4 linked regions of the Caenorhabditis elegans genome follow. The protein of the gene in region 2 interacts with the protein of the main gene of each other region in a pairwise test. Each region holds a gene or a part of one and is shown on either strand. Other genes may lie near its edges.

Region 1 (4,843 bases), 4.1 Mb from region 2:
GGCTAGAAAAGCACTCAAACATACATTGTGATAGCAAATCGGGTTGACCTTATAGTAGTTGATAAGCTCATCAATAGTCGGAAACTTGAATCGCCGCTCAATATAAAACGAGGTCCATTTGCCGGCGGTTTCTTCAATAAACAAATGCATATCCATGTTCTCTTTCTTCACATCCTCCAGATCCCCATAGAAACTTCGTGTGGTGCCGGTTTTTTGTGCTGAATAGGGAACATAATTGTAAAATCTAGAGTTTTTCAACGAACAGTGAGGGCAAGTTCCCCGCAACAGCTTGACAACTTATGAGAAGTTCATTGAATAAGTTTCCAAGCTGCTAGGAAGTTAAAAAAACAAAAAATAAAACAAACTGATATTGACGGACAGAACAAGAATGACACGAGTCAGTGGAATCGGATCAGTGGCACTTTTGTCCGGAGTCGTCGGCTTCTTCGCATTCTTCTCTGGTTGATGCGACAATCTCAGGAGAAAGTCTCCGTTCGTCTTCAACAAGATCAGTTGTAGCTCTTGGAGCACAAAACCATGGAAAAATTGGTATCTCAATAAATAATTGTCAATCATTTCATTAGTTACTCTGGAAATTAAAAAGTGTTTTGGGATATTTGGGATAAAGTTGCTCACCTTCCAACGCTTTTAGTTTTTTCTACATTTTGATACATTGAGTCGTCCGGAAAATTGATCATAACTGAGTTTGAAATACTGCTGCCATCTGTTGTCCTTTCAGTCTTTTCGGTCGTTTCACTCTTACATTCTTTTTTCTCAGATTTCTGAAAATTGAAAATTACATTTTACTATACCAGGAATACCGAATTTGTCTTTTTTTTAAATAATCATACTACAGGCGACCCATTGCAGGAAACTTATTCTAGAATTTCTGATGTCTTATTTTATTTTCAGGTAGACGCGTAGCCAGGTACAGGCAGGCTCGAACTCCCGCACTCCAACTCACCTTCATTGCAAAAATTTTACGACGATTTTGAGTAAAATTATATTGGGAAATAAATAAGTTTGCCTCGTCGTATTTGTTTTTTTTTTCAATTTTTTTCACGGGAGTTTATGTATTTAAACATACAGACAGTGATACAACTCAAATTCAGAAAACTTCCAGGAATCAAACTTCATCTGAAGGATTAACGGTTAAACCAAATTTTCCTGACAACAAAGTGCAAAGTCACTGCTCGACAGTTAGGAACAACTTCCTACTCCTGCCATAATTTAGCATCTTCCTATCAAACCTTTCATCAGCGGCAAGCAGGCAGGCGAGCACGTCTGAAAAATTCATGTCTACTATCGAACCCCTTAGAAAATATATTCATTTTTTGCAATTCACAGGATGTCAAAATATTGAAAATTGTTGCTTATAGAGTGGAAAAAAGGAGATTATTATAATAGCTGGTCTCAAATGTCAACGGCAGAAGTATTTAACTAGATTAATATTTTCAAGTTTCATGTTTTCGGATATGTCACCATTCACCATACACTTTACCATTATCTAAATCTAGAAATGTTACAGTAATCCATGAGCACACAAAATCAGAAAACGAAGAGCAACCTTGTGATGAGCTGGAAAAAGGGGATTAGTAGAGGTGAATGTTGAGAACAGGAAAGAAAGAGAGAGTGAGAGGATCAGAAATACTTTCAATTTATTTATAATTTTATTCACATCACAAATCTCTCTCCACTCAACTGCCCATAGTGATTGATAAGCTCCGGCGTTTCGCCTACTCAACGTTTCCCTCCAAAAACTCCAATCTAACTTTTTATTTTTGTTTCTAGCCAATCTTTTTTTTTTTCTATAGTTTCAGAATCAAATGCTCAATTTTGGAGTCGTTATGTATCAAAAGAAGAGCCCAAGTAATGCAACAGAAAAGTGAGTTCTGAGTGTATCTTACCAAACCGAAAAAAGTAAAAATGCAACCTATAAAACAAGATATTATCTCTCTCATTGCAATAGAAATCTCCCCCTAAAAAAAATCTCTTTGCACATGTCTCTGTCAGTTCTTTTTATGTTTTGCGTGCATAGAATTGCCGATTGTCGGATGATTTTCTTCTTCGTTCGATGAAAGCGGAAATAATAGAGAACAGCGTTTTATTGTGGTTTTTTGTTTTTTCGTGTCAAAGTTTCTGTAAAAGTCATGATGGTAGAATTTGTTCTAACTGTTTTATTCTTTTATTTTTAACTTTCAATTTAATTATAAATCAATTGCATATTATTGTCCATGTAATTAAGCTTTTAAGTTATCAAGAATAAGTTGAAAATTTTATTTGCAAATATTTTTTATGTCGAATTTCGATGCAGATAATGTTTTTTTTTTCCAAAACCGCTAAAATTATTTCAATATTCTTTATTTTTTTTCTATAGTTAAAGAAAAATTTTTTTAGAAAATTAACAAAAAAACTAAAAAATTACCAAAAGTTGTTCATTTTGATGAGAAAAAACATGAAATGTTTTCTCTGAAAAAAAAGGAAAATGGTCAAAATGTTAATATATTTTTGCAAAAATCGAATTGTTTTCGAAATATCTGAAAAACTAAAATTTTTCGGAAACGGTTTTTCTATAATACGCTTTGTATGCCAGGATACATTAAATAGAGAAAAATTGAGACAAAGTCCAATTACTGAAAGTGTAACATTTTTCTTTAAATTATGATCTAGGATAGTTTGTTAATGAAGCGATATTGCTTCTTGTATGCATACCTATGTATGTATGTCATTTCCGAAGTATTATAATATGTATCCTAATCAAGAACATGGATCATAAACATCTTTATTTTTATTATTTTATCTTTATTTTTCAACTCGATGTAAATTAAAAATCTTCACTAGTAGCCAGTAGCTCGACTTTGCAAATGCGTTCGTTTTAGATTTCGTCTTGTTTCCGATTGGCCCGGTTATTACGTAAGCACCTAAATTTTAATGTTATTGCATCTCATCACTACTTAAAAATGAGTCAAGTTTTTGAAATAGAAATACGAGCTTCATTGTGAAGATCACGATATTCTTTTTATTCGAATAAATCTGGTTGCATAGCTGTAGTACGTCAACGGACGAACCTGGATGAAATAGTGAATAAATATATTTTCTATAAAAAGGAGAAAATAAAAGAAATGTTATAGTTGACAGTTAATCCTTTGCATGGTGAATCTGTTGGCGGATGCCAGTTAATCTCCCTGTTTATCCGTATGCTCATATTTTTAAGTCGTCTTCAGTCGTTGTCGTTCTAAAAAATTTGGCCATCGATTGGCTCAGCTTCGTCTTTTTTGCCTCCTTTCACTTCTTCTTTTCTTGTCCGATTTCAGAAAAATTAAGATAATAAATTGCTTCAAATTTTGAAGTGCAATACACTTTCGCAGTCTAAATGCCTCTTGTTTTCTAAAAGTTATGCCAATTATTTATTCTTTAAAAATATTGGACTTACTGCCATGGAAGTCATATAGTTTCGCTACAAAAGTAGTACCTGTTCTGTGGTTTGGGTATTTTTCGAATTAAAATTTTTCCAAACTCAACTTTTTTGTGCAATTCTAAATGTATTTTTATGAGTATTCTTTTTTCTCCCTCTCCTATGTACATCCGCCAGCAGATGCTTGTTGAATTCTTATCGAAAGCTCTTTATCAGAACTTATTTTGAAAAAAATGTCAAGCATTCTCCGAGCATAGGTTTAAAATATTTCTGAAACACAGGTACATTTAACCAATCTCTCAGTTGAAAAGGTTACAATTTTCAGTATCAAATAAAAAAGTATAACACAATAATCTTTTGCACTTGACTCGCGTCATTTATCTGATCAACATGGCTTCATGCTCGGAGAATGTTCTTCTTTCTGCCAAAATGACTCACTGGAAATACTTTGAACATTATCAATGAAATTCAAAATAAAAATCAAAGAATAAGACTTTAAACTTTGAAAATTAGGACTTAAAAATTGTTGTAGAAATGCACCTAGCTCTTCAAATTTTGTTTGCCACTTTTTTACTGAAAATTGATGGCAACATACTTGAATTCTTTGATTTTTTCTCTACTAAAGGAAAACAAAAATCTTTGAAACTTTAAAATCAATGGTTTGTGTTAACTGAATTTGGTTCACCGATAGAACGATTGTTGTAAATCAAGGAGGTTAAAAAATTGAAATATCGATTAGTCATTGATTTTGAAAATTCAAAGCTTCCAGACAGAATGCCTCTTTGAAATACCCTTTGAACTATCAAGCTTCCTCCTCTTCCTCCTCTAAAAATAACGTGAATAAATTGTTCGAAGAGTATGGAATCATCTCATTTCCGATTCATATTCGTTTCCGCTATCAAACAATTTAACAATTTAATATGATATTCAGAGATGAATAAAATGCATTTTCTGCTCGAATGCCTTTTTTAGCTCGAATAAGTTTCTTCTTGCGTATCAGTTGGCAGGTGCAATGCTCAATTTTAATTTTAAGAAAAGTTTACATCAGCAAGCCCTACTTTCTCATTCTCTCCTTTTTAATTTTGTTTCTTTTGTTGTCTTGAAAGAAATTCAAACCCTTAAAGTATAAAATTGAATCAATTGGGTGTTCTTCTAATTGTCTCGTTCATTCAAATATCACTATGCATTAGGGAATGTCATATCAAATTGAATGATGAAAGTAGATTAGAAAGAGAAAAGAGAACATCCATTTAAGTATTCAAGTTAGCTTTTTGATTTTTCTAGATTTTTATGAACTAAAAATTGAGAATATTTACACTTGGCTGAGAACCACGGCGCGAGGAGATCGTTGAAGAGGCTGAAAGAAGCGACATCGCCCAAATATGAGGAGGAATGGCGTCTTCCGTTGAATTTTAGGAATTAGAATTT
Region 2 (3,410 bases):
GAGAATATTTTGTTTGGATGAAGCCGAGGATATTGTTTGGATAGTGATTGTTTTATTAACTTCATTGAAATTTCTGTTCTTTTGTAGGTAAGTACGCTTTATGATTAGATCCACAATAGGAAATAAACTACTTTTCCAGAGGATTTAAGTCAGTTGGACCATTCGTCTTGATGCTCTATAAAATTATAATTCGTGATTTAATGAGATTCTTCTTGATCTATTTGGTCATTGTAGTTGGCTTCTCTCAAGCATTTTATGTCATATTCCTCGGTTATAAGAGAAGTGATTCTGGAAATCGTGAACCAAGCATTATGAGTAACGTTGCGGAAAGCTACGTACGGATGTTTATCATGTCACTCACAGAGTTTACTGTATTTTTTGAGCAATTGGAAGAATGTGAGCATACCGTTATTGGAAAGGTAGGCTTACACTTTTTTTAAAACAATTCTAGACTAGAAAGATCATCGAAAAATATAGAATTTTTGATTTTCAGATAACATTCGTAGTCTATATGCTTCTCGTAACACTTTTGCTCATTAACATGCTTATTGCTATGATGACTAATACTTATACAGAAGTCTCTGGAAATTCATTAGAGTGGCTTCGACAATGGTCTGCAATTATTCTAATGATGGAACAAAGTTTTGATCCAGCAACCAGGTTACGGTATCAAAGAAGATATGGAATACGTTTTGATGGAGGTGAAAAACTAGTTTTATTGTTAAAAGATAAAATGACAGTGAGTTCCTCTTACACATTTGCCAATAGTTTGATGATAAATTTAAGGAGGAAGAATTCGAGTGCCAGCGGAAGAAAATGCACGAAGAGCGTCGTAAATTCCGTGAGGAACTTCGCACAAACCAGAGAAGACGGCCAGTATTTATATGCAAGCAAGGAGCAAATTATTTCAAATCGAAGCATCGACATACTAATAATAAGTTGATTATTCCTACCGGCTAATTTTTTTTACTGTTTCATTCTCTTCCTAAAATAATTTGTCTAATAAATGTTGGATCTTGTTAGTGAAAAATGTGGAAAGTTGATGTTTCTTCTTTGATTCCTCAATCTTGCTTTTTTAGAAACCTTTAAATTTGGCAGTGGAAAACTTTAAATGAAATGGATGTCTCAAATAGTTTCCGGATTTAATATGTTGCATTCAAATATTTTTATTTAAGACTGTTTAATTTAGAACATTTTAAAAGTGTTTTTTACTATTTTTTGGTACTGTTGCAGTAACCATAATCAAGTATAACGATATGAAAACTTTCAAAACGAACTGCTCAGCCAGTCCACAAGCGGCATACTGTTAGTTTATTTCGGCAAATTTTGTCAGTTCAATTTGAAAATTTATTTATTAAAAAAGGATTAAGAACTCACCCAAGAGAATGCCCATCGTTTTTAGTGTTATTTCTAGTGTTATACCAAGTCAATTCAGATATTTCAAAAAATGCAACATTCTCTGATGTGCCTTCTTCTTTTCTTTGCTTTGCTCTCCAAAAATGACTAACGAGTGGAATGTTATCTTATCAAAAACTGCATCATTCAGCATTTGACAAGAGTTTCACTGGCGCTGAAATCAACATTTTCACTTCTCGACTCTTCCTAACTTTTTTTCTAAAATTGCTCATTACTTCTATAGATTAACTTTTTAGTTTTGATTTAGTTTGGGTCAACAAAAATGAGTAGTATTCGATACAGGAGACCACCAATCATAGAACGAAGATATGAAAGAACTCCATCATATTCGGTAACTTCAAGAATATTCGATTTCAGTAATAAAACTGTTTTCAGACGATTCCAAGGGATATTCATGTCTCATTCTACCATAATAACTATCACAGATCAAAGATTTTGTATTTGAATAAGTTCAACGCAATGGAAAAATTAATTGAAGCTGCACACGAATTGTATCCATCAAATGGTGTTTATCGTCTATTTTCGGGTGAGTTTTTTGAAATGAAAAAATATTTGTAATAATTTTTTAATAGATAGTACAATTGGTGCTCAAAACGAGTTGAATGATTCAGTGCAAGTTATGGAATGTGTTCAAAATCCTGATCATATTCTTCCACATCTACATATAAGACTGGAAGGTAAGATTTTACGGAAAACTTTTTAAAAAACAGTTCCATAGTCCTATTATAACAACCTTGTTAGTTCTTTGTTAGATAATCTTACAATTTGAAAATTCAATTATTCAAATTAAGTTTTTTTAAAAAAAGGAACAATGATCTTTCAAAGTATTTTTTATTTTCAAATTTTGAGAAATTTCAAGTTGTTTTGCAAAGGTGTGTTCTTATGTAACTCAAAACTAATAGTAACAAAATTTTTAAAAATTTAATTTTTCAGATTACCGTCCCAGAAGCATAAGCCGTAATTATCACGAAGTTAACGTTCCAATAATTCGAACTCCATCTCAACATTCAATCCATCAATCTGTTCGATTCAACGATAACAAACGTCATCACCATCATCATCATCATGATTCAATAAGAAACTTCGTCCATCATGACACTCCATGCCGAAACTGTTTCCGTATAATTGTTGGAAGCCGTTATCACTGTCTTCAATGTCCAGACTATGATATTTGTGGAGACTGTGAAAAAGATTTGGTTCACTACGAGCATGCTCTTCTACGAATTGTGACTCCAAGGGTTACAAGTATTCCTGATTATGTCACAGTTAACGCCCCAAGTTACATTTTCCCAGAACATCGTTATGATATCAAAAGAGAACATTATCATTGGTTTTAAATTGTATTTTATAGTTTTGTTGTTTTTCCTATTTATGTTGTGAACTTAGTTTTTCTGTCGGATTTCTGTCCTATCTTGTTATACTTAAAAAGACCAAAAAAGTTATGTAATTGCAGAAGTGCAAAAAACCAAGACGCATCCTCCATTCAATTTTAATTTCCTGAAATCTATCTCGCAAAAAAAAAAACAAAAAAAAAAATTCCCTCTTATTTTGAATTTTAAAATTAAATTTTTCTTGTGCTTTTCAGAAATCTGTTCCAATTGAATTTTCATTCCTATTGACTTGTAGGACTAGAATTAATAACACCGCGGACCACCTTTATTGAGAATTTCAAAAACATTTTGTAGGCCATGTTTCCAATTTTTAATTGTCTTAAAATTAACACAATGTTTCAAAATTTCTATTTTAATTGGCTCCATAGAACACTTTTCCATGTAATTAGAAAATGCCTACCTGCCTGACACCTAGAAAGTGACCAACGCTTACTGTGCATTGAAAGCATGCAAGTAGGCATTTTTGCATGCGTGGGAGGTTTCTACAACTCAGCCAAAGCAGTCTATTGTACCTACCCATTCCTTATTTATTCTTCCGCAATCACCAATGACGCGTTCATGATTTTTCACTTTTTCAAAAACAAAATTTGATTGTCACTGCCC
Region 3 (5,623 bases), on a different chromosome or scaffold from region 2:
CGATTCAGGCCTTGGAGACTGAGGTCTTCGGGGCCAGGCTGGCGGCAAAGTACCTGGATAAGGTAGGCCATCGGGCTTTAAGGCTTTAAGGCTTCAAGGCTTTACATACCCTAATCTTCCAGGAACTCGCAGGCCGGATACAACAAATCCAGCTCCTGGGACGAAACATGCGCGGCGTGGAGCACGACAGGCTCTGGAACCAGCTGGAAGCCGAAATTCACCTCCACAGGCACAAGACAGTGATCCGGGCTTGCAGGTAGGCGGTCACGTTTCCCATGGCCGCTCCCCACTTGAACAATTTGCCATTCTTGCAGAGGACGGGGTAACACGAAGGGATTAACGGCGCCACTTCGTCACAACTTCAAGAGCCTCCGAAAACGAAATGGAGTGGGAAAGAGCAGGAAAGTGGTGCTCTCGAAACACCCGCACGAAGGGCTCGGCATTTCTATTACGGTAGGTGGGGGGACTTGGATGGTTTTGGGCCAGTAGATCATTGACTAGACTTGTTCCTTTGGGGATCCACGGGATCCTGTAAGATCTGAGAGTTGATCCAGTTCCCGTAAGACCAAATGTGCCATCTGATTATGAGGTACTTTTGCACGTGGTGTCAGGCTGTCCCATTGCGGTTTGATCTACAAAAAATGCGGGAATTTTTCTCCCAGTCAGTTGAAAAGTCTGCGTCTCTTTTCCCGCATTTTTTGTAGATCAATGTAGATCAATCTAAAATGAGACACTCTGACAACCCCTGCTTTTGTAGTTCTGCTGCATAGCTCAAAACTACTCCAGATAGTTTGCGGAGCTCCGGATGGATCCTAGTTCTTCAAGATCTTAAAAAATCCTACTGGATCCTAAAATCCATTTCCAGGGAGGATCCGAACACGCTCTACCCATAGTGATATCTGAAATCCAGCCGGGACAGCCTGCTGACCGATGTGGACAGGTCTTTGTGGGCGACGCGATTCTCTCAGTAAACGGCTACGATCTTCGGACTGTCAAGCATCAGGAGGCAGTGGATATTTTGAGTGGGCAGGTAAGATGCTGCCAGGGGCCCTCCACCTACATCCCCTCCAAATTCCAGGTACAGCAAGGCGACCTAGACCTGGAGCTCGTCTTTGTGTGCCCCGATGAGGATAGTGATGATGATGGGACGGTGACGATCGAGCACAGCGATGGATCTATGTGAGTTATTGGGAATTTTTCGGCGGGAAATTTGAATTTCCAGTTAGTTTTTAGCGGGAAATTTAAATATTCAATCGATTTTCAGCTGGAAATTTTGATTTTCTGTTAATTTTTGGCGGGATTTTCATATTGCCAGTTAATTTTAGGCGGGATTTTTAAATTTCCAATTGATTTTGAGCTAGAAATTCAAGTTATAAGTCAGTTTTAGGGAGGAAATTCAAATTCTCAGTTAACATTTAACTGGAAATTTAATTTTTTAGTTAATTTTTCAACTGGAAAATCAAAATTTTGGTCATTTTTCAATAGAAAATTCAAATTTTTTGTCGTTTTACTATAGGAAATTCAAATTTTTAGTCAATTTGCGACAAAAAATTCTAAATTTTCTGTCTATTTTCGGCAAGAAATTCAATTTTTCAGCCTATTTTTTGGGGGAAATTCAACTTTTTAATGAATTTTTCGGCGGGGAATTCCAATTTTTTGTCGTTTTTCTATAGGAAATTCAACCTTTTAGTTAATTTTTCGACGGGAAATTCAAATTTTCGGCCAAATTTCAACAGAAAATTCGAATTCCCAGTCAAATTTTTAAATTTTTGTTTTAGCTACAACCTCTACAGTATGGAAGAGCCCACGTCAAGCCGATCGTCCAACAATTCTGATGAATCACGCAGCACGTGACCTCCAAAATGTGGAATTTTTTGACGGGTTTTATTTAATTTTTTTTTCAAAAAAAAAACTTTTTTTTGTATATTTTCCCGTGACTTTCCTCCTCCCCCTAATTGCCACGTCATTTCCTCCAACTCATTGGATTTTTTTTTGGCTTTTTCCAACTTTTTGCATAAAAATCTTTTATTGTTTGAGTTTATCGATTTTTCTTCCGCAAAAAAATCAATAAATGACGTGTCAACAAATCAATCGTCTTACTGCTGTCTTCAATACGGCAATGTCCAAGGCGCTGGCTTCCGATGAGAAGGACGACTGGATTACCCATTTGAAGGCAATTTCGAATGTTTTTACGCAGGTAATATGATCTTCCGGTCGGGCGGGAATTTGAAAATTCTGGGAGAAATATTGATTTTTTGGAAAAATGTCAGTTTTCCGGCAAATGTCATTCAAAAAATTATTGATTTTTCGTCGCACTCCAACGACACTCCGATATTCCGCTGACTAAAAGTAGGCGTGGTCAGGCGGGAATTTAAAAATTTCGCTTTGAAAATCAGTAAGAAATCATCGATTTTTGTGAAAATTGTTAGCTATCCGGCTCGAAATATCGAAAAACGGTTTGAATTTTGTTTAGTATAAAGTTTCTTTAAAATCCCGGTCGGGCGGTAGTTTAAAAATTTTAGAAAAAATCGATAATGTATCGACTTTTCGGTATCCCGGTACAAAACTGTGGCGGGAATTTGAAAAGTTTCCAATAGTTACTTCAAAACTCCTTTTTCTCGGTTATTGAAAACTTGGCAATGACGAGAAAAATCGATAATTTATTAATTTATCACAAACTATTTTTCCAGGTTTGCACTTTGTCCGCCAGTGAAGAATCCGCTAAGAAATTGGCAATCAAGGAGCGTGAGGAGTGTCTCCAGGAGCTCGTGGAGCTTCGTGCCATAGCTGAAGCCCATGATGACGTCATCCAGCAGTTCCACTTGTTGCTGGCCGCGAATCATCAGGGAGACGCGACTTCCAGGCAGATTTTCAATGATATGGTGAGGGAATGTTGCCTGCCTATACCTACCTAGGTGCCTACAAGTACTAGGCAGGCAGGCACTTTCGTGCCTACCTGCCTACTTCAACGCTTAATATTTCAGAAACAAGAAGTCGGTGACAATATGGAAAGGATCCAGGAGCACCGTCTTGTGGAGGCTAAGCTCAACGTGGAGAAGCGGCGTAACGAGCGGATGGCGAAGCATATCAATGAGGTGTCCAAGAAGAGTGTCATGCATCTCATGGCAACCAGGTTCTACGCAAGGGTACGGTTCTACCTAGTCGATGCACCATGTGGGGTAGAGGTTCAGGTAGCTCTGGTTACCCAAAAATTGGTGATTTCCACTTTGGCCACATTTTTTGCTAGCCTAAACCTCAGCCAAAGCCTACACCCAAACCTAAGCCTTAATCCAAGCTTAAGCCTGAGCTTAATCCTAGGCATAAGCGTAAGCCTAAGCCTAAGCCTTGGTCTAAGCGTAAGCCTAGATCACAGCCTAAGCTTTAGCATAAGCCTAAACCTAAGCCTAAGCCTAATACTAAGCCTACGCCTAAGCCTAAGCCTAAGCCAAAACCCAAGCCAAAGCTTCAGCCTAAACATTTTGTCGATGCACCATGACATTTCCCCCACTTTTTTTCTAGATTTTTGGCCCCTACGCATCATCATTTTTTACATGATCATGTCCCCTCCCCACACTTTCCCATGAGACTCATTACAGGAGCTGGCAGCAATGCGACAGATGATGGATTTGGTGCGCAACGCGGCAACGATCGAGTCGGCCGTCAAATCGAAACTGTGGGACGAGATCGAGAAGGAGAACCGCTTGTTGCGTCTCAACACGCTTTGGCTCATCAATCGGTAGGTGATGGATTTCTGTGGGAACTTGTTGGAGCATCAAAAAATTTTCCAGGATCAACTCGTCGGACCTTGGTGATGCTGCATTTGAGAACGGAGACGATTGGCAGAGCTCTCCGCGGCTCGTGATTCTCATGAGAGAGCATATCAATCAGGGGCTTGGGCTCGAGATTACGGTTGGTGCCGAAAAGCCAAAAAATTTGAAGAAATGGAATTATTCAGGGAGGTTGTGATCAGTTCCGTCCGGTCGTGGTCACTGGGAAGTTGAAGCGGTCGATGGCGGACGATGATCAGGTACAGTACTCCTACAGTACCCCTTTTCCTACAGTACCCTTTCCCTTCCTATAGTACCCCTCCCTACAGTACCCCCTTACTGCAGTTATTTCTCTCTACAGTACCCGTTTCTACAGTACACCCTTACTACAGTACCCCCTGCCTGCAGTACCCCACTTCTACAGTACCCCTCCCTACAGTACCCCTTCCCCAGTACTCCTTTACTACAGTACCCCTGCCTACAGTACCCTTCCTACGGTAACCTTCCAGCAGTACCCCTACCTACAGTACTGCCTCCCTACTGTACCAGTCCTCTATAGTATTCTTTTAGCAGTTCATCCTTATTGCAGTACCCCTTCCTACAGTACCCCTTCCCTAATGTGCCCTTCCCTGCAGTACTCCTTTACTACGGTATTTTCTCCCTACAGTACCCCATTTCTACAGTGCCCCCTCCCTACAGTACCCCCTTCCTACAGTACCGCTCTCTACAGTATCTCTCCCTGTAGTATCCCCTGCCTACAGTACCACTCCCTACAGTATCCTCTCTCAACAGTACCCTATTCCTACATCACCCTCCCTACAGTATCCCTCTCCCTACAGTACTCTCTCCCTACAGTACCCCTACTTCATATTTCCAGCTCCGTGTGAACGACCGTATCTTGGCGATCGATGGGACCTTCGTGACCAACACCACCACCCACGCCGAGGTTATGGAAATGCTCGAGAATGAGGTGAGTTTCGCATTAGAGCGCACTTGTAGCCTTATATAAATTTGAATTTCCAGAGCGCCAAGGATTTCATCTCGCTGATTGTATCGCAATTCGACCCGACCAAGTACCACGAGGCCCATCCAAACGGGAAATGTCACAAATTTGTTAGCACACCAATTTCGGGAAAAGCCGATTCGGGGGAGGATGTCTGAATTGTCTTTTTTTTTTTGGTTGCAAAATTTATTTTTCTCTAATTCTCTCCCTCTCGTACAGTTTATAGACTTGTTTGTGTGTCTCTTTTCGATTTTTTTTTTATTTCTTTTTGTGTTTTGCCGCCAATTTTTTTCGTTCTTCTCATGATTACCCCCCTCTGAACCTTTTTAAAAAATAAAAATCAGCGGCTGTCTACGTCTCAGGGATATCAAATGAGACGGAATTAAAGTGGCTCATTTGAGTTTTATAGGTTTTCGGGGAGAATTGATTCCTGGGAGCTTTTCCTCCACTGCTTTTCATTGCTTTTTTGTTGTGGGAACACTCTGCAACAAATTTGGTGGTGAAAACCTGAAAATTTAGCAATTTTCTCATTGGGGCGCATTTGCAACATACCAATTTGAATTTTCAATAGGAAAACTTGTTTCTCTTGTTTTCACATTAACTTCTATCGATTCCTTTTAAATTTTCGCTGAACCGTGATTTTCCAGCAATTTCGCGGGAATTTGAATTTTTAGTTCGAAATTGCACTTTTTTGGTTTTAGCAAAACTGGTAAATAAATATAACAGTTTAAATTGTTGGTTTTGTTGGAAAATCACAAGAAAAATCGATTTTCCAGTTATTTTCTCATTGGGGCGCGTTTGCATTATGCGGTCCGCGAGAATTTAAATTTTTTAAAAAGAAAACTTGTTTTTC
Region 4 (5,769 bases), on a different chromosome or scaffold from region 2:
TGATTAGAGACGGAAGTTGAGAGACTGTCGGACAAAGTTTAAAATTTTAAGAGGTAAAATGATGACATTATTCTGAAAGGCGTCTGTAGTGTTTAAAGAAATTATGATGACTACAATAATCATAATCACTTAAAAAACTATAAGATTTTTTGGAAACTTATCACTTTACAGTTCTTTGAAATATAGATAACATTTTGATTTAGATCATACAAAGATTGCTGCCCAACTTTTAATTATTACAGTTTACAGAGGTCATCTTTAAAATTTTTATGCTAGTTAAGTTTTGAATTCAAATATTGGAAGATGGAGTTAAAAAATACAGCGGTTATCTATGTTTAAGTTCTCCTAAGCCCGTACACAGTTTTCAATTCAAAATTGCTTTCACCGTTTAAAAATTCCCCCGATTTTGAATTTTTTTCTGTTAAATGTTGAAGTTTTAGAGAATAAAATCATGTGGGTTCATCTATTTTCAGAATTTTTCTCAATGAGATGGACAACTATCACACAAAGTTTCAGCTTGTGGGTGTTATCATGCACAAGATTTCATCATATTCAAAAATTGAAACAAATTTTTATGGAAAGAATTAAAACTTTGAAACATATGAATTGAGATCAAAAATAAAAATAAGAATAACTTCTAAAAGATTAATTGAAAAAAAAGATTGAAAAGTGAACATGAGCAGGAAAGAAACTGGTGGGTGACAATGTAGAAGACTAGAAATTCAAAATTTTGAAGATTCCTATTTAAAAAAAAACGATAAATGATATCACAAAACAAGGGATTTCGAGGGGATGATTGCAGTTTGTATTGAGGCTTCAAACATCTGTTACTGTAGGCGTGTGAGTTATCACAAGAGGACCATCTTCTGCTAGTGGCATTGCTGGAGGAAGAGCTACTATTGATGATGGAGGTAGGGCTGCCTGAAAACATTCAAATTTAGGTGATTTCTCAAAATACAATTTAAGGTCATATGAAAAAATTTAAAGTTCAGAAAGATCATTTAAACTCCTTCAATAATATTACCTGTGAGCAACAAGGTTTCCGTGGAGGTGGTGGTGGTTTATGATTTGCATTCGAATGCGTGTGTGACTGCGATGTCGTCGATGCAGTAAGAATCGGTTCGGAAGCACAAGAAGCCGTTGTTGAAGGTACTTCAGGTGACGGAACTGCAACTGCTGAACATGCATTCGCCGCTGCAGATTGTTGTGATTTTAGCCTAGCAAGACTTCGATCAACTCGATCAATATCTTTCTCGGCGCCACGAAGAATCTTGTCCTGTTGTGAACGTCGTGTTAATGTGGCTTGTGGTGTGATATCTCCAAGTTCGGCAGCTGCTGAGACAAGTGGAGTGGCAACACCTCCCGGTGGGGCGAAAGACGCTGAAATTAAAGTTTATTGATTACGCGCTGACATTCAAAAAATATTTTTTCAATAATGATAAAAAATAAACCTTTAAAAATACTATTAGAATAGTTTTCAGAAGAAAAAGTTCGCTTTGAACTAAAACTTGGACAACTTCTTTACCATGTTTTTTGCTGAATACTCTACAAAAGTTGACTTCAAATTTCGGCTTCATAGTTTAATATTTTTTCGAATAAATTTTCAAGTATAAATGTTTATAATAAAAATCTTACTGCTAGGACTCTGAACATCAATTGTTGAAGCAATAGAACTTCGTATCGAGATATTGTCCGATAAAACAGCTCTGCATCTACATTTCGGGCAGGTTTGATCTGTTCTTTGTAGGAGATACGTGTGTAAGCATCTGAAACATTACAACTTTATTTTTAGAATCTCTGAAACTCATTCATACTTTTCATGGAAAATATGCGAACACCTAAGAGCTTGAAGACTCTCATCCTTCAATCCATATCTTTGACCGCAGAAGTTACAAAACAATTGCATTTCTTGTGTTAACCGAGACGCAGCTCTTCGAGCAGTTTCCTCAGAATCGTCATCATTCAGTTGAGAATATAGTTCGGCTAGTCGGAGATGGCACTTTAAGACAACGTGCTGAAACAAAATTTTGAAGTTTTGTGGAATCATCCTATCGATTTTGTACCTTGCACCCTATCTGATTTGCAATTTCAATACACTTTTTATTCAATTGAATAGCTTGACATTCACATTGTCCAGTGTAATGAGATCGACTTTCAGATGCACTTTTTGCCATTGACGAGAGCACTAATACCTGAAAAACACTCAGAACTTATTAAAATTATTTTCTCACAATTCCCCAGAAATATACTCATGTTGTCTGATCTCTATGTGAGATTGTGTCAACCACAAAGCTTCAAGATTTATGGGAAAGTCGTAAAAGTTATTTAATGGGAAAAGAAATTGAGACCTGGATGTGAGCTTTTGGTTTTATGAGGTATTTGGTTGTACCAATAAATAATTGAAGGTTTTTTGGCCACTTACTTCGCCCATTTTATCATTTGCTCCGCGCATTACACGATAAGCATCTTCGTATCTTGCCCAGGATTTCTGTAAGAAAGAGTTTATTATCTAACAATAGAAAAAAAAAACTCATTGATTTCTAATACAAGTTTTAATGAAAGTTAGTTGTTATTATTAACTTTTCAAGCATAACGTTTTTTTACTGAAATAACTGAGAATTTAAAATTACTCACAGTGATAGTCTCTTTGGCTTCACTCTCTCCCAATTCTCTATAAATATCTGCTAAACTGCACATACATCTTGCATGGATCGCTCGATTACCCATCTCAACAGCTAGCTGGGAAGCTTCCTGGAATCATTCAATACTTTTTGAAGTTCTTAAACTTTAAATAAAAACTTACATCGCATGCTTCCTTGGCATCAACCAGACTTCCTTTCATCCTTAGAGCAACTGATAAATGATAAAGTATCAAACAACGATACTTTGCATGAACATCATCAACAGTAACAGATTGAACAATTGCGAGAGCATTTCGAAGAAATATCAGAGCTTTAGTGATATCTCTGAAAATAAAAATGTGTTATTTTTCATTTCTGTACGGTTACCTCAAAAGAGTAAAAAGAGATCCTAGACCAACACAAATTTGCAATTCGAGTAACCTATCCGATGTCTCATTGGCAACATTCATTGCTGACTCGAAACTTTCCAGACACTGTTGGAACTGGGACATTCCTAAGTGTGCAAGTGCTATTGCTGAAATAGCCACAGTTTTGTCTAGAACCTATTGAAAATTCTTACTTAAATGTGCATAACCAGGCGTCCTGGGATCCATCGAAGGATGTTCTAACGATGCTTTGCCATACTGGAGGGCTTTCGTGAAATCTGCTAATCGTTCATAGGCTTTTGCTAGATTCAAAAATGCCTCGCATTTCATTGCTGAATCGTTTTGATCGGTTGCCAACTGCATTTGTGATAGAGCATATGAAAGCATTCCTTCGTATTCTCCCTGGTCGCAAAGAGCTTGAGCAAGGTATCCGAGAGTGATAAACCGGTCTTCTGCATTGCTGAAAATGGACGTTATAGAAAAGAAGAGGAGTCGTCTGAAAGACTTACTTTAACCTGTTCAGAGACTGTCTCCATTTATTGATAGCCTGTGCGTAATGTCGTTGATGATAAAGTTTGACGCCAGCCTGCAGAAATAAATGTTTAAAATTGGGGAATGCCAAACAGGAATGATAAAACATTTTAAAAAACATCACAGAAGTTCGCATAAATTTTAGTTTCCGAAAAAAAAATTCCCCATATCAAAACTATTACCAACCTGCATGTGTTGCTTTGCTTGCCGCTGTCCCATTGATCGTCGATGATTCGTGATGAGATTGATGTTGTCGCGACACACAAAAACACCCATTGACCTGAATAATATTCAATAATTCAAACTTCATGCTCAATATATCTTACCTACAGACCGGCGGCAAGTAATCATGTAGTTTTTAGTGATGGCTCTTCTTTTTTCTACGTGTGTGTGAAATACGAATAAAAATTATCAATCCTATCTCATCTGAAAATTAGGAAAATTTTTATTGAAGTTTTTATTTTATAAATCTTTCGATGCAGAAAGAGAAAAATGTGCATGGTGAAAAATAAAAGAAAGAAAAGAAGAGGACAATTGATGAATAATTGTTTTAGAATCCATTTCTGAGTCTGCATGCAATAATGATGGAGTACCAGAGGATCAATTATGAAGGGATTACTGTAGATTTTATATGCTTTAGCTATTTCAGGCTCTTGCACAAAAAGTTCCACCCCACAAAAAACAATTAGCTCAAGCACATTTTGTTTGTGTTGACATTTTCATGAGACGAGAATTCTTGGATGACTTTTGATTGATATTCGAGATGAAGATGAGATAGTATGAATAGACATGGAGATTTAGAGATATAGGTGAGAAAGTGATCCATCAATTTGAGGTCATGAGACGATTGAGGAAAAATTGGTGGGGAGCAAATGAACGAAAAATGATGGGATTGGAAACGGAAAATGAGGCGAAAAAAGAGAGGGAAATTTGTGGAAGATAATGGGAAACAGATAAGAAATGAAAATGCCAATTGGATAGAATAAAAATCAATTTGAGAGAAAAACATCAGAGCAAGCGCAAAAGTGCAAACTGCACAAAATAAACTATCTGCCTACACGCATGTTTACTGGCATGACATAGAAGAAACTTTCAACAAAAAGTTAAAATGGGAGAAATGTATATCATATACAAGAGTTCCCAGCGACACTGAAAAATTGCTGTAGGCAAGAAAAATGGCAGGTAGGAAATATGGGAATAGTCCTAGAATGAACTATATTTATTAGAAAACTAACTAAACATATACTTCAACTAGAAGTCAAGTTTTGGAGTTCGAAAAAAACCTGTGTTTGTGCAATATACTTTTAGAACGAAAGGAAGTCCGAACTCAAGATAAATTCAAACTTTTAAACTTTTTTCACCGTTTACAACTCCGCCCAAAATGTTTTTTCGGTACTAGTCCCTATTTGAAATCACTCTGTCAAATTGAAATTTTCGGGAAAAAAGAAGAGTAGTACTCTCTAATGTGACCCGCCGGCTCAGGCGAGCTTCTCAGGGGAACTGAATCCAATTTGGAATGAAAAGAAATTTGGGACAAAAGAAGTGAATACGGGGAAAAAGAAAGTAGATCTAGAAGAAGAGGAGGTCTAGTACTTTGATGCACATCTTAAGGAATCCGTATTCCAAATGTTTTTTTTCTTGAGTTGCCCCAAGCTCTCCGAGTTTGGAAAAGGATGGGAAACGGAAAATCGAACTCCCATGGGAAATTGAACAGAAATTGACATTTTTGTGAAGAGATGGGTAAAGAGTTGGGACACATTGAATTGTGTGGAAGAAAACGATGAGAAGAACCGATTAGATTAGAAATATTTTTAAGGATGAAGATGAAAAAGGATTATTTAGAAAAAATAAATCAGGAAAATTTCAGTTTCGACAATAAAATGTTAAGGGAATAAAGTTCCACCTCTGGATGCCCCACTTGAAGTATTTTAAATAAACAATATTTTTAGAAATCCAAATATATTTTCAAAATAAGTCTTGATGTTTTCAGCACTACATTTTCATATCGACGTAATTTTAAAAATGAAAAAAAAAATTTCGATCAACAAGAACAGTGAGCCATGGTTTATTGTAAGTTGGAAAAAAATATGTTTCACTAACATGATTAATTTACAAAAAAATAACTCTACATTTGAACTTCAATTATAAATTGAATGTCGTGAAATAGAAAAAAAACTATTTGAAATTGAGAGTTATTAATAATTTTCTAAAAAAAAACACAATTTTGAAAT

Evidence for each region.
Region 1: the proteins of sqst-2 (region 2) and kin-4 interact in a two-hybrid assay, tested with the Caenorhabditis elegans proteins (one large-scale study listed by BioGRID).
Region 3: the proteins of sqst-2 (region 2) and ZK849.1 interact in a two-hybrid assay, tested with the Caenorhabditis elegans proteins (one large-scale study listed by BioGRID).
Region 4: the proteins of sqst-2 (region 2) and rpy-1 interact in a two-hybrid assay, tested with the Caenorhabditis elegans proteins (one large-scale study listed by BioGRID).

Annotation. Positions count from the first base shown.
Region 1 is NC_003282.8:11,423,916-11,428,758, forward strand, and holds the start of kin-4 (non-specific serine/threonine protein kinase), read left to right. Parts: upstream 1-1,826; coding exon 1,827-1,885; intron 1,886-2,218; exon of another isoform or gene 2,219-2,239; intron 2,240-4,843. Other genes in the region: F22B3.8 (Tyrosine-protein kinase), read right to left, coding at 25-218, 366-589, 637-782, 965-970.
Region 2 is NC_003282.8:7,327,229-7,330,638, reverse strand, and holds sqst-2 (ZZ-type domain-containing protein), read left to right. Parts: upstream 1-1,663; 5' UTR 1,664-1,678; coding exon 1,679-1,747; intron 1,748-1,791; coding exon 1,792-1,942; intron 1,943-1,988; coding exon 1,989-2,093; intron 2,094-2,349; coding exon 2,350-2,753; 3' UTR 2,754-2,868; downstream 2,869-3,410. Other genes in the region: ocr-4 (Ion transport domain-containing protein), read left to right, coding at 1-87, 140-419, 494-739, 787-960.
Region 3 is NC_003279.8:14,182,092-14,187,714, reverse strand, and holds ZK849.1 (PDZ domain-containing protein), read left to right. Parts: upstream 1-2,007; 5' UTR 2,008-2,119; coding exon 2,120-2,197; intron 2,198-2,690; coding exon 2,691-2,882; intron 2,883-2,984; coding exon 2,985-3,146; intron 3,147-3,596; coding exon 3,597-3,736; intron 3,737-3,788; coding exon 3,789-3,909; intron 3,910-3,955; coding exon 3,956-4,027; intron 4,028-4,644; coding exon 4,645-4,737; intron 4,738-4,790; coding exon 4,791-4,928; 3' UTR 4,929-5,120; downstream 5,121-5,623. Other genes in the region: gopc-1 (Golgi-associated PDZ and coiled-coil motif-containing protein), read left to right, coding at 1-62, 123-256, 315-453, 866-1,030, 1,079-1,179, 1,779-1,854.
Region 4 is NC_003280.10:6,701,680-6,707,448, forward strand, and holds rpy-1 (43 kDa receptor-associated protein of the synapse homolog), read right to left. Parts: upstream 3,965-5,769; 5' UTR 3,865-3,964; intron 3,819-3,864; 5' UTR 3,815-3,818; coding exon 3,725-3,814; intron 3,594-3,724; coding exon 3,517-3,593; intron 3,468-3,516; coding exon 3,202-3,467; intron 3,157-3,201; coding exon 3,009-3,156; intron 2,967-3,008; coding exon 2,804-2,966; intron 2,752-2,803; coding exon 2,635-2,751; intron 2,489-2,634; coding exon 2,423-2,488; intron 2,193-2,422; coding exon 2,064-2,192; intron 2,015-2,063; coding exon 1,815-2,014; intron 1,767-1,814; coding exon 1,636-1,766; intron 1,381-1,635; coding exon 1,025-1,380; intron 922-1,024; coding exon 817-921; 3' UTR 554-816; downstream 1-553.